Drosophila melanogaster: one gene and its partners. The protein of the gene in region 1 interacts with the protein of each later gene in a pairwise test. Each region holds a gene or a part of one and is shown in the gene's direction. Other genes may lie near its edges. The genes, in order: Usp10, CG14104 and CG46385.

Region 1 (3,760 bases):
ATGCCAGACTTGTGCATACCCTGTAAAAAGTACAATCAGCTTATAGTAAAGACTGATTAGGCAAATTGATTTACAAAATTGGTCAATGGCGAATGGAAAACTAGTCAATGAAAAGCAATCGGAACACGGATTAAGTTCGATGCACATATATAATTAGTTGTACGCTCTCAGTGTTAATCCCCACATTACAGCATTATATGTACCTATACGATTATATATCTGAGTGTTTATTTGTAATCCATGCAATTACAATGTTTCTCGTTCCATAATAGATGTTGAAAATCCCACAGCAATCCGAAAATTCAAAATGCCCGAGTTGGTTTAAATGGAAGGCCGAACACGAATCTCTGTTGATGTGCAGCGAATTTTTGTATAATTGTTCATTGCATGTTTAATATTGCATAAATAAAAACAAACAATGTGTGTCTAATAATAGTCTTGGTGTTTTGTATTGTCGAATACGTCCGAAATAGGTTTTAATAACATAGTCAAGCATTCAAATTACCCGCCAATTTTCCACAGCGTTGCCATCGGTTGCAGGCGGGTGGCCACCCTGGCCATCGATAGCACGCGCCGACGATTATCGCACTGTCATCGAATTGCGACAACCCTGGGAGCAGGAAGGTTTTTCGGCCGAAAAATAGAGAACAATAAAACGTTTGTGGCCCTCAGCAATATAGGGATCGCCGAGTGCCGTGTTAACCGGTGACCTCTCGCCCGTGCCCCGAGACCTGTGACCCCGCGCAACTGCCCGCCTCAATGTTAATTTGTGGCAGCAAAAGCAGCAGAATTTGGAGCAGCAGCGTGTAAAAAGTTGCGGAATTATCGTGGCACCGCGGAGAAAGAGAGAGCAGGAGAGAGATTGCCGCACGCATAAAATATGATCAAATTGCAAAATTGATTTCAATTGGCCACTCAACAAAAGGTACGTTCGATACACCCGCCCCGGCGCCCACGAAATTAGCACAATAATAACACCAAACACCTGGCTCCTCCATTTACATAAAACTCGGAAGAAGTAAACCTGGCAACTAGTAGGGAATCGTGGACTTTTTGCTTCCAGCGAACGTTATTTTCCCATTTCTTCCATTTGCCCTGCCTCTCCGTGTGTGCATGTGTGCGTGTGTGTGAGTGCGTGCATGTGCTGGTGTATGTGTGTTGTGTTCGGCAGAGATGAGTAATTTAAAACTCCCAAAGAACAGCAATGAATGTCTGTCAAATGCAGGTAGTTTTCAAGATGAACGACCAGCTTCCATGCCGAAGTCATTTCACTTTCCATGACCAACTTCTAATCTAGAAAAACCCATTAAAAGAGCCCTTTGAACCTGTTACATTCGTGACCGATATTTACGTGAGCCGGCAAATCGTCGCAATTACTCATCTCTAGCGGGCGCCGTGTGGCACCAAAAAATCGTCCAGAAAATGTCCAGAAATGCAATGGGCAGCAGTTAGTTTTGTTTGATAAATATGCATTTATAATGCGTCTACATTTGAGATAATTCCCGTGTAAGCCTTATTTAAATTATGCGTCTCTTTTGCTTTGTTTATTTGATTTTCTCATTACACCGTCTCATCACAGCTGTGCGGCCTTGCCAGATCGCTTTTCTGGCTGCGGCACGCGGAGTGGCGTGAATTGAAAATCGCATTTAATTAGAATTTAACCTGCGTCGGGTAAAATATAATGAATTTGTGCGCTCCAGCTGCATAAGCTAGTGTTAGAATTGAAGTTACTTTATTGATGTGATATATTTAAACGTGCGGCTCAAGATTTGTAGAATCAGCCATAGTATTCAACAGTTGGTCTTGTCAATAGAAATTGTTTTGAATCATTACCCTCATGCCCCCATACTTTATATTAATAAATTTAATTAGGGGACTCTAATAAATGGTGTATTCTTCTTTCGACTGCGTGCATAATTAATATTGATTGCCCAGTCTTATATAATTATCTCCTTAATGTACTAATTAATCAATTGCTATGCGCTCTCTTTCCGATCAGCAAAAACCAATTTCAATGTTTGGCGCCTGCTGCGACTCTTGAGACTCGTCTAAATCCGCAAGTACATTCAACCGGAATTTGAGCCAAGTTTCTAACCTTTGGCCTCAAAGCCATGGCATCCACGTCGTCGTCGGCTTCCACGACGGCGGGATCCTCCGGCGCGGCAGGCGGAGGAGCAGCCACGCCCATCTCAACGCCCTCGACGCCCCAGCCGTCTGGCGTGAGCAGCGGACCCGGCAATAATGGCAACAACAACAACAACCATCACAACAACACCCTGGTCTCACCATCCGGGAACAACAACTTGATGACGCCCGTCCAGGCATTCACTCCAACCGGACAGCCAGTGTACAATCCACCCGTCTATATGTCCGCCCACGGAGGACACCCGCACGCCGGAGCCCACTACCCGGCCATGATCCCCGCTCCGATGCCCAGCAATCACGTCTATGTGAACAACGTCACTGCCAATGTGAACCTGCATGGCTGGCCGCACGGTGTTCCGGCTTATATGCCACCCGGAGGTCAGCATCACTACATTGGACACGGCGACATGCCCCAGGAGCAGGTGGGTGAAACAGAACAGGATCTATATACATCTGTTCGATAATTTCGCTAATTACTAAGCATTGTTACTAGCTAGCACCTACATTACTGACCTTCTTACTTGTTATTCCACACAGGGCAACACGGTGATGCCGCACCTGCAGCCTGTGCCCATTAATTTGGCGCCCCAGGGCGGATCTCCGAATCCCCATGGTCCTAGAATGGGTGGCGGACGGATGCGCGAACGAGGTCGTCCCCGTGGCGGTGGACCGCGACGCAATGACTACCATGGGCCACGTCACCTCCAGCAGCAGCAACTGATCACCCTTCCGCCGCAGCAGCAACTGCCACCGCCGGACGGAGCCAATCCCGGGCTGCAGCTTCAGCCGGATCAGATTGGTCAGCAGTTGGCGCCGCCGGAGGCGCACATGCAGCACTTACAGCAGTACTACGCGGCGCCACCAACCTACGCCTACGGGCCATATCCCTCTCCCTACTTCACACCCCAACATGCCAATGTGCAGCCTCCCCCCAATGCCACTGCTGCCCAACAGGCAACTGGAACGCCGCTCTTCATCTCCGGACCGCTGATGTATAATCCTGCGTGGTTCAACCACGGTGGGTACATCTACCCCATGATGCATCCGGCTGAGTACCAGTATGTACCCGAAGACGCTGGCCAGCCGGGAGTGGATGAACGTGGAGCTCAGCCGGACGGCGGAATGACCCAGATCTGGCACCAGGGCCCCATGTACGCAGAGGACTTCGAAGCGCTACAGCAGCAGCAACAACAGCAACAGGTGGCTGTGCATCCCAATGGAGGTGCTGTCAGTGTAGCCGATGAGCTCAACCACAATAGCTCATCCCTGCCCTCCTCGGAGACGTCGAGCATGATCAGTCCAAACTATCCCATCTACGATCCACAGATGCACGAAATGCAGCACCAAATGGGCGTGATGCAGATATTCGACGATGGTCAGATGGCCGCCCTGCAGCCAATCCATCCAGGAGCGGGTCCGCTACCGCAGGTAAGTGGGCCTGGCATACCGTGAAGCTAAAGACAATGGCAATACTAAACATTTCTTATCGTTAATAGTACGAGGACGAGCTAGCCGAGTGCGGAGCACCGCCACCAGGCCCTATTCCGGTGGCCTGGACTGCTGCCATGCCCCTCCCTCCGGATGCAGTCCAGCCAGCTCTGCTGCCGCCACCGCC
Region 2 (2,778 bases), about 19 Mb from region 1:
TTACAATAGCAGCTCAACCAGGCGACGGCAAACACCCGCATCAATTACAGCCTGGATTTTATCATTGGGACCATCTGACAGGTAGCCTATGGCCCAGCAAGTATCGCTTAGTACATCCGCATCAGTGTACTTCAGCAACCGTGCCAGTATTGGTAGACCATGGCTAATTTTGGCAAAGTCTGCGGGAGGGCTTTTGCCGCGGCACAAGTTTGAAAGTGTCCACACCGCATTCCGTATCATGGTAATGCGATCCGAGTTGCTCAATACACTGCAAGAAGTCACACCTACTTTGGCGCAATCTTATCAATATAATTATTTATAACTTACTGCAGGAGAGGCTCTAGAATGCCGGAGCCGAGCAAATGGTCTCGACACATGGGTGAGTCACCGGCTATGTTGCCTAGGGCCCACACGGCCTGTTCCTGAACATCATCATGGGGACTGGAGAGCAAATCAATGAAGATAGGCACTGCCCCGGCCTCGATAACCACCTTGGTCTGTTGCGAGGTGCCCGATGCGATGTTCGTTAGCGTCCAGGCGGCCTCGAACTGCAGCGTGGCATTTGCGCTATTTCGCAAAAAGGTGACAAACTGTGGCACTATCCCCTTCTGGATGACTTCCTCAATGGGAGGATTGGGATCGCGGGACAGCAGTTTGCGGAACTTTTGAGTCGCCTCAAGCTGTTCGTTTTCACGTCCACTGAAGAGCATTTGAATCATTTCCTCGTTGATTACGGATGGCTGTGCCCCGCTTCCAGCAGCTTCCTCGTTTTGACCGCCAGTGCTGCTGTCAGCCATGTGCATGTCGGCAGCCTGCATTGGAATGGAGAGATAGTTAAGACTATGCTATCAGGCCAAACTTGATCAAAATATACCTGCTGTTCGTTATCGGTGTTGCTCTCCACTCCGGCTGATGTTGAGGATGTAGCCGGCTCAAGAACCACATTGCGTCGCTTAAAGAGCTGCTGTTCGCGTTTGTTTTTTCGCAACTGGATGCCCACCTCCTCGCGACGACGACGCATCTCTGTGGAGTCCAAGGCGGCATTTTTATAACGCTGTTTGTGGCTGGCAGACATTTCGTCGTCTTGGCAATTCAAAAGCTTGAAATAGTTAAAAAAAATATTTCTTTGAGAACAGAATAATTTAAGTCGTAAAGACAGGTTTCAGATAAAAAGTGAGTGCGACTTGATTTTCGCCGCTACTGTGATCAAATGCTAAACGAAAGTGCAAATAATCTAGAAAATATAGGTAGAGGTCGTCGTGGAATGCGAACTAGTTGAATTGAACGTTTATAATCATCACTAGGTGTTCCCCAATGTTCTCATCCACTCCCACCAGGATTATTACGCCCTGTAACCACTGAACATTCGCTTAGCGCCTGCTCTAGGCTAATTTTACATTTCCGGAAACATAAAGATTACGTTGTCAGGCGAATAATTTACATATAATAGGTTCACATTTAATGAACTATTCAGTTTTCCTGGCAAAATGCACAATCACAACACTTTCACATTTCATTGTACGTGTATGTACATATGTGCACACACGGCTGCTTTGCGTTTGTGCGTATAGGTGCGGGCTTAGGTCAGCCAGCATGAGCCATTCGCTGGTCTCCGGTTACGCCCTTCTTTGAGCCACCACAACTCCTGGTTAGAAGAGGCGCCTTCAGATACGTAATTAGAACACAATTTACCTGTTCCGGAGAATCCTTTTCTCGTCTTAATCATGCAAGGGGACGGGAGATTTTACACGTTGTGAGGAACGGGGATGCCGGACTGTCAAAATGCAATGCACACAGCTGACGCGCTATCGATAGCGATATCAACCGATAGCAGTAATTCCAATCCAATTGCATTTAATTTAAACATGAAAGAAAATAAGAAAAAGTCGCGCAAAACGGCCAATAAGACAAATGAAACGTCAGAGGGTCAGAAAAAGAAGATCATTGAACTGCTGCACGAGTACAACGACCTAAAGGATGCCACCCAGCGCGTCCTGGAAGCCTTGGCCAACCTAAAATGCGTACCCGTCGGATCGGTTTACGCTACATACAACCTGCCCCGCGACGAATAAAGTTTGTGCTTTTTAGACTGTTATATTTATGTACTTGTTGTAAACAACTTGTAATACAACGGAGTGCATGTAAATGCCTTCTGGCTTGGCAGTTCCATGAGACTTCTGCTAATAAATCCACCTAAAACTAGTCATTGCATTTGTTCCACCTATTGGCCAGCATGAAAATAGGACCGGCATCGTTCATTGAAGGTCTTGTAGGAACGATCTTTAATGATGTCCTCGACATTGAGCTCGGCCTGGAGAACCCGCAGCTGGAAAGGATCATAGGCATCAGTTAAGAGTAAGACTTAGGTATTTCGGTTACCTTGCGCTGCTCCGCCCTAAACTGGTTATCCGTATCCACATCATCCGGCTGGGTCTCCCGCTTTTCCCTTAGCTTCTTCAGATTACTAGCCGAAATTGTTATGCAACTGCGTATGCTTTCTTGCTGCAAGGAGAAGCTATCTGTCAAGATCCCCGTGTGTTGTACTTAATCAGGATTTACCCTGGCCAAGTGTGACTCCTGGAGCTTCGCGTACAGATCGCGACAGGTGCTTTCACTGTTCACTTGACCCTTAAACGACTCCGTTGGCAGGGCATTTAGTGCATATATAATCTTGTCGTCCACATCTCGCATCTTCTTCAGTGCCTCCTGTTTGGAAACTTAAAGCCATTTAGTATGCCGGCTACTAACCCAAACAACAATATTCCAACCCCCACCTGG
Region 3 (3,760 bases), on another chromosome or scaffold:
AACAATCAATGCCTGTACTCCGTGGGACGTCGACAGCTGAACGAAGTCCTTTTGAATGCCTGCGATAAGCTGCCCAATATACGCTGCCACTTCGAGCACAAGCTGACAAGTGCCAATCTGCGAGAGGGATCCATGGAGTTCCGCAATCCCGCCAAGGAAGCCGTAGCTGCCCATGCTGATCTTATAGTCGGCTGCGATGGTGCCTTCAGTAGTGTGCGCCAGCACTTGGTCCGTTTGCCGGGCTTCAACTACTCCCAGGAGTACATAGAAACGGGGTATCTGGAGCTCTGCATACCCTCGAAATCGGGAGACTTCCAGATGCCTGCCAACTATCTGCACATATGGCCGCGTAACACCTTCATGATGATTGCCCTGCCGAATCAGGATAAGTCTTTCACGGTCACGCTGTCCATGCCCTTTGAGATCTTCGCTGGCATTCAGAATCAAAACGATCTCCTGGAATTCTTTAAGCTGAACTTCCGGGACGCACTGCCACTGATTGGAGAGCAACAGCTCATAAAGGACTTCTTCAAGACCAGGCCACAGTTTCTGGTGTCCATCAAGTGCCGGCCGTATCATTATGCGGATAAGGCACTGATCCTGGGCGATGCCGCCCATGCGATGGTTCCGTACTACGGCCAGGGTATGAATGCTGGAATGGAGGATGTCACGCTGCTCACCGACATTTTGGCCAAGCAGCTGCCACTGGACGAGACGTTGGCCCTGTTCACCGAATCCCGCTGGCAGGACGCCTTCGCCATTTGCGACCTGGCCATGTACAATTATGTGGAGGTGGGTTTTTGGAACTAGAATTTATATAGTTTCAAATTATATTTCATTCTTTTTTCTCTACCTTGCAGATGCGAGACCTGACCAAACGTTGGACATTCCGGCTGGACCTACTACTCAAAAGCTCTAAAAGCTTTTCTTCGCCGAAGGTAGAAAGACATGGATGGTTTCGAGTATTTAAAGAGGGGGAGCTTAGTATGGTCAGAGAGCGAGAGAGACAGCGAGCTGCTCATTTCCGACTTAATTGTTGTTGCTAATTCCGTTTCGCGAACTTTTCGATGGCACTCTCTAGAATTGTCGGCGCCTCCGCTTTGCCCACACTCACTACAGTGGAACGTCGACGAGAATAAGATTTATATGATATGCAGTTAATCACGTACATAATCCTCTTACAAAATGGCGTGTACATAAAACTTAAGGTATGAAAACGTATTTAAACTCTAGAAACTTCCAGATAGTGACAAACCATTATTTACTAATGTTAATTATACAATGAACGGTGCCGAATGTCTTGTTTATGGTTTTGTATTCAACTAGCGTAAAATGTATCGAACGTTAATAGAGATTAGACTTTAAGAACGTTGAAAATTAACCTATTAATGGAATCGAATAATAACTCTTATTTTTCTGAACCCAATAGCTGTGAAATAAAAATATACATATGTATGTGTTTTAGCCACTTTTTATTTAAAACAAATGGCCAGTGATTTCAATGAGTGCCCTTTCTAAGTGAAAGTACTTTTAGGCAGGCCTTACTGTACCCACTGTACCGCTGCCGCCGTCGCGCGTCTTCGCCTGGCCGGCGGACCAATGGAGCAGGCCAGCGCCATCAGTTGCTCGTCACATGTTCGACACTCAAGTAGACCAAACACAGGGAGCTGTACAGTGCCCACCGAGATCCGATCGAACGCAGAGCAGCCGTTAGACAGAATATTGACTTTAGCAACTCACCAGGAGTTCAGTTAAACTTGCACAAACTAAAAATTCCCATAATCCAACCGGAATATCGCTCTTTTTAGGCAGGTGCAAGTGCAACTTTGTTCAGCCCTTTTTGCTGTTAAATCGAAAAACCACATTCTCGAAGCTTTTGGGCAAGCTTCCGCAAAACGAAACGATCGAAACGCGTGGTCCGAAAGCAACGAAGCAAATACGGCAACAGGCGAGCGAAAAAGTGAAATTGAAATAATTCCAAATCAAAAATCAAATTCCAAATCGAAAATCGCAAATCACAAAGTTGGAAGTTGAGTGAGCGAACGCGTGTGTTTGTGTTTGTGCGTAAGTGTCCCTCAGTGTGTGCAGTGCAACGGTATCGTAAGACGAAAAGTAACGGTAACCGAGCAATTGGGGTGTAAGCTGTCAGAATCTGTGCGCAGAGAAAACCGAAAGTTTTGGCTTGTTACCTTGCCGTAGTAATCCAAAATCAAAACCGAATACCGGATTCACCGATCGCCATCCTGGCCCGCCCTTCGACTTTAGTTTAAGGCGCTCTGCCAGCGGTTCGCCGGAACGGTAAACTCCCCCCACACCCTGCTGCCCGTCGTCGTTAGCATACCGATACCGATAGACCACCGCCGATAGCGATACTTTGGAAATTCAGCAATCCGTGCCCCACTTTAGCTAGGATTCTGTTCGGTTTTAACCCTACGAAGAAGGAGCACCCGGCGGCGGAACCCGAAGCCGTTCTGCGTAATTTTGGATAATGCGCGACTAGGCACGAGCTGTCCGAATTGTTCAGGTAAATACATTCGTACATATATATGCATATAGGTGCACACACAATCACCGTTATTGATCTCGCTCAATTAGTGGGTCTACGTGACTGCAGCGCCGATTCTCAGGGTCCGGGGTATTCGCAGATCGCATCGTGCCGCATGGTGTTGTATTCTGTTCTGCCTATAATGAAAAGCAAACCAGAAATGCGGATAACAATCTAGGCACACACCACAGCATACACCTTTCCCTCCATCTTCCCCTTCCACCCCCCTGCTCATCACTTTTGGGTCTCGGTTAGTCTTGGCATCTGGCATTTCCGGTTTCGCTATTTTTTGTCGGTGTAGATATGTATGTATGTACAATATGTAGATGAAAACACCTTCAGATATTATTCAACCCGAAATCCTCTCAAAGTGGTTTGGTTTCCTATATTTTCATTGCAGTACATATTTTGAGTACATATGTACATACATACTTAATGCAAAAAAAATAACTTAAAACTAGAATTCGAAACCAAAATTTTGCATTTAAAGATGAAACATCAATTTGTATATTTGGTGCATTTTTGTTGTTCTTAAAATAAACAATTTAATCAATCTTTTTCTTACATTTAAATATAAAACGTTTGTACTCTCTTGAATAAATAAACTTCGTAGAACACTTGCTGTGGGCAAAAGTTCAATAACAATGCAATTTAACGCACGTGGGAACCCCAAATGTTGTTATTAGTATTTATTTGACACAAAAACTAATATGTTAGCTCGTTAGACAAGAATAATTATCGTCGTTCTTACGTTCATCCATCACTTTTGGGTTCAAGAACGGTTAGTGTTCGATAATTCTGGAAAAGCACTTAACTGATTTGAAAGAGATCAGTTTGAATTTCTCTCATTGCGATTGAGTCATAAAGTCTGGTAAATAACAATAAGAGTAGCCCGAGAACTGTTTTATTTCTATACCCTTACAGAGGGTATCGTAACTATTCTCATAAATTCATTGGATTGGTTCTGACCCATTTGTACATACAATTTACATACTTACATATATCCATATCCTATTGCTACTGATAAACTTCAGTAGATGCTAGCGAATTTTGAACTTAAGGCGATTTAAAGAGTATAAAATATTTAGACGGATTTCGCGCACTTTTAAAGAGTTTAATGAGCAATCTTAGCAGTTTATGGGGAGTCAAAGTTATTGATCTTGTGGTCAGTTTAGCAATCATCACACATTTACTCGGCGACTCGGTGTCGAAAGG

What was found.
Region 2: the proteins of Usp10 (region 1) and CG14104 interact in a two-hybrid assay, tested with the Drosophila melanogaster proteins (one large-scale study listed by BioGRID).
Region 3: the proteins of Usp10 (region 1) and CG46385 interact in a two-hybrid assay, tested with the Drosophila melanogaster proteins (one large-scale study listed by BioGRID).

The regions. Positions count from the first base shown.
Region 1 is NT_037436.4:871,309-875,068, forward strand, and holds the start of Usp10 (ubiquitin specific protease 10), read left to right. Parts: upstream 1-1,602; 5' UTR 1,603-1,671; intron 1,672-1,999; 5' UTR 2,000-2,111; coding exon 2,112-2,567; intron 2,568-2,682; coding exon 2,683-3,573; intron 3,574-3,641; coding exon 3,642-3,760.
Region 2 is NT_037436.4:19,806,234-19,809,011, reverse strand, and holds CG14104 (uncharacterized protein), read left to right. Parts: upstream 1-1,812; 5' UTR 1,813-1,865; coding exon 1,866-2,072; 3' UTR 2,073-2,201; downstream 2,202-2,778. Other genes in the region: Kap-alpha1 (karyopherin alpha1), read right to left, coding at 5-268, 328-812, 875-1,075; Ccdc58 (Coiled-coil domain-containing 58), read right to left, coding at 2,222-2,326, 2,380-2,502, 2,560-2,706, 2,775-2,778.
Region 3 is NT_033778.4:7,780,491-7,784,250, reverse strand, and holds the start of CG46385 (uncharacterized protein), read left to right. Parts: upstream 1-1,613; 5' UTR 1,614-2,524; intron 2,525-3,760.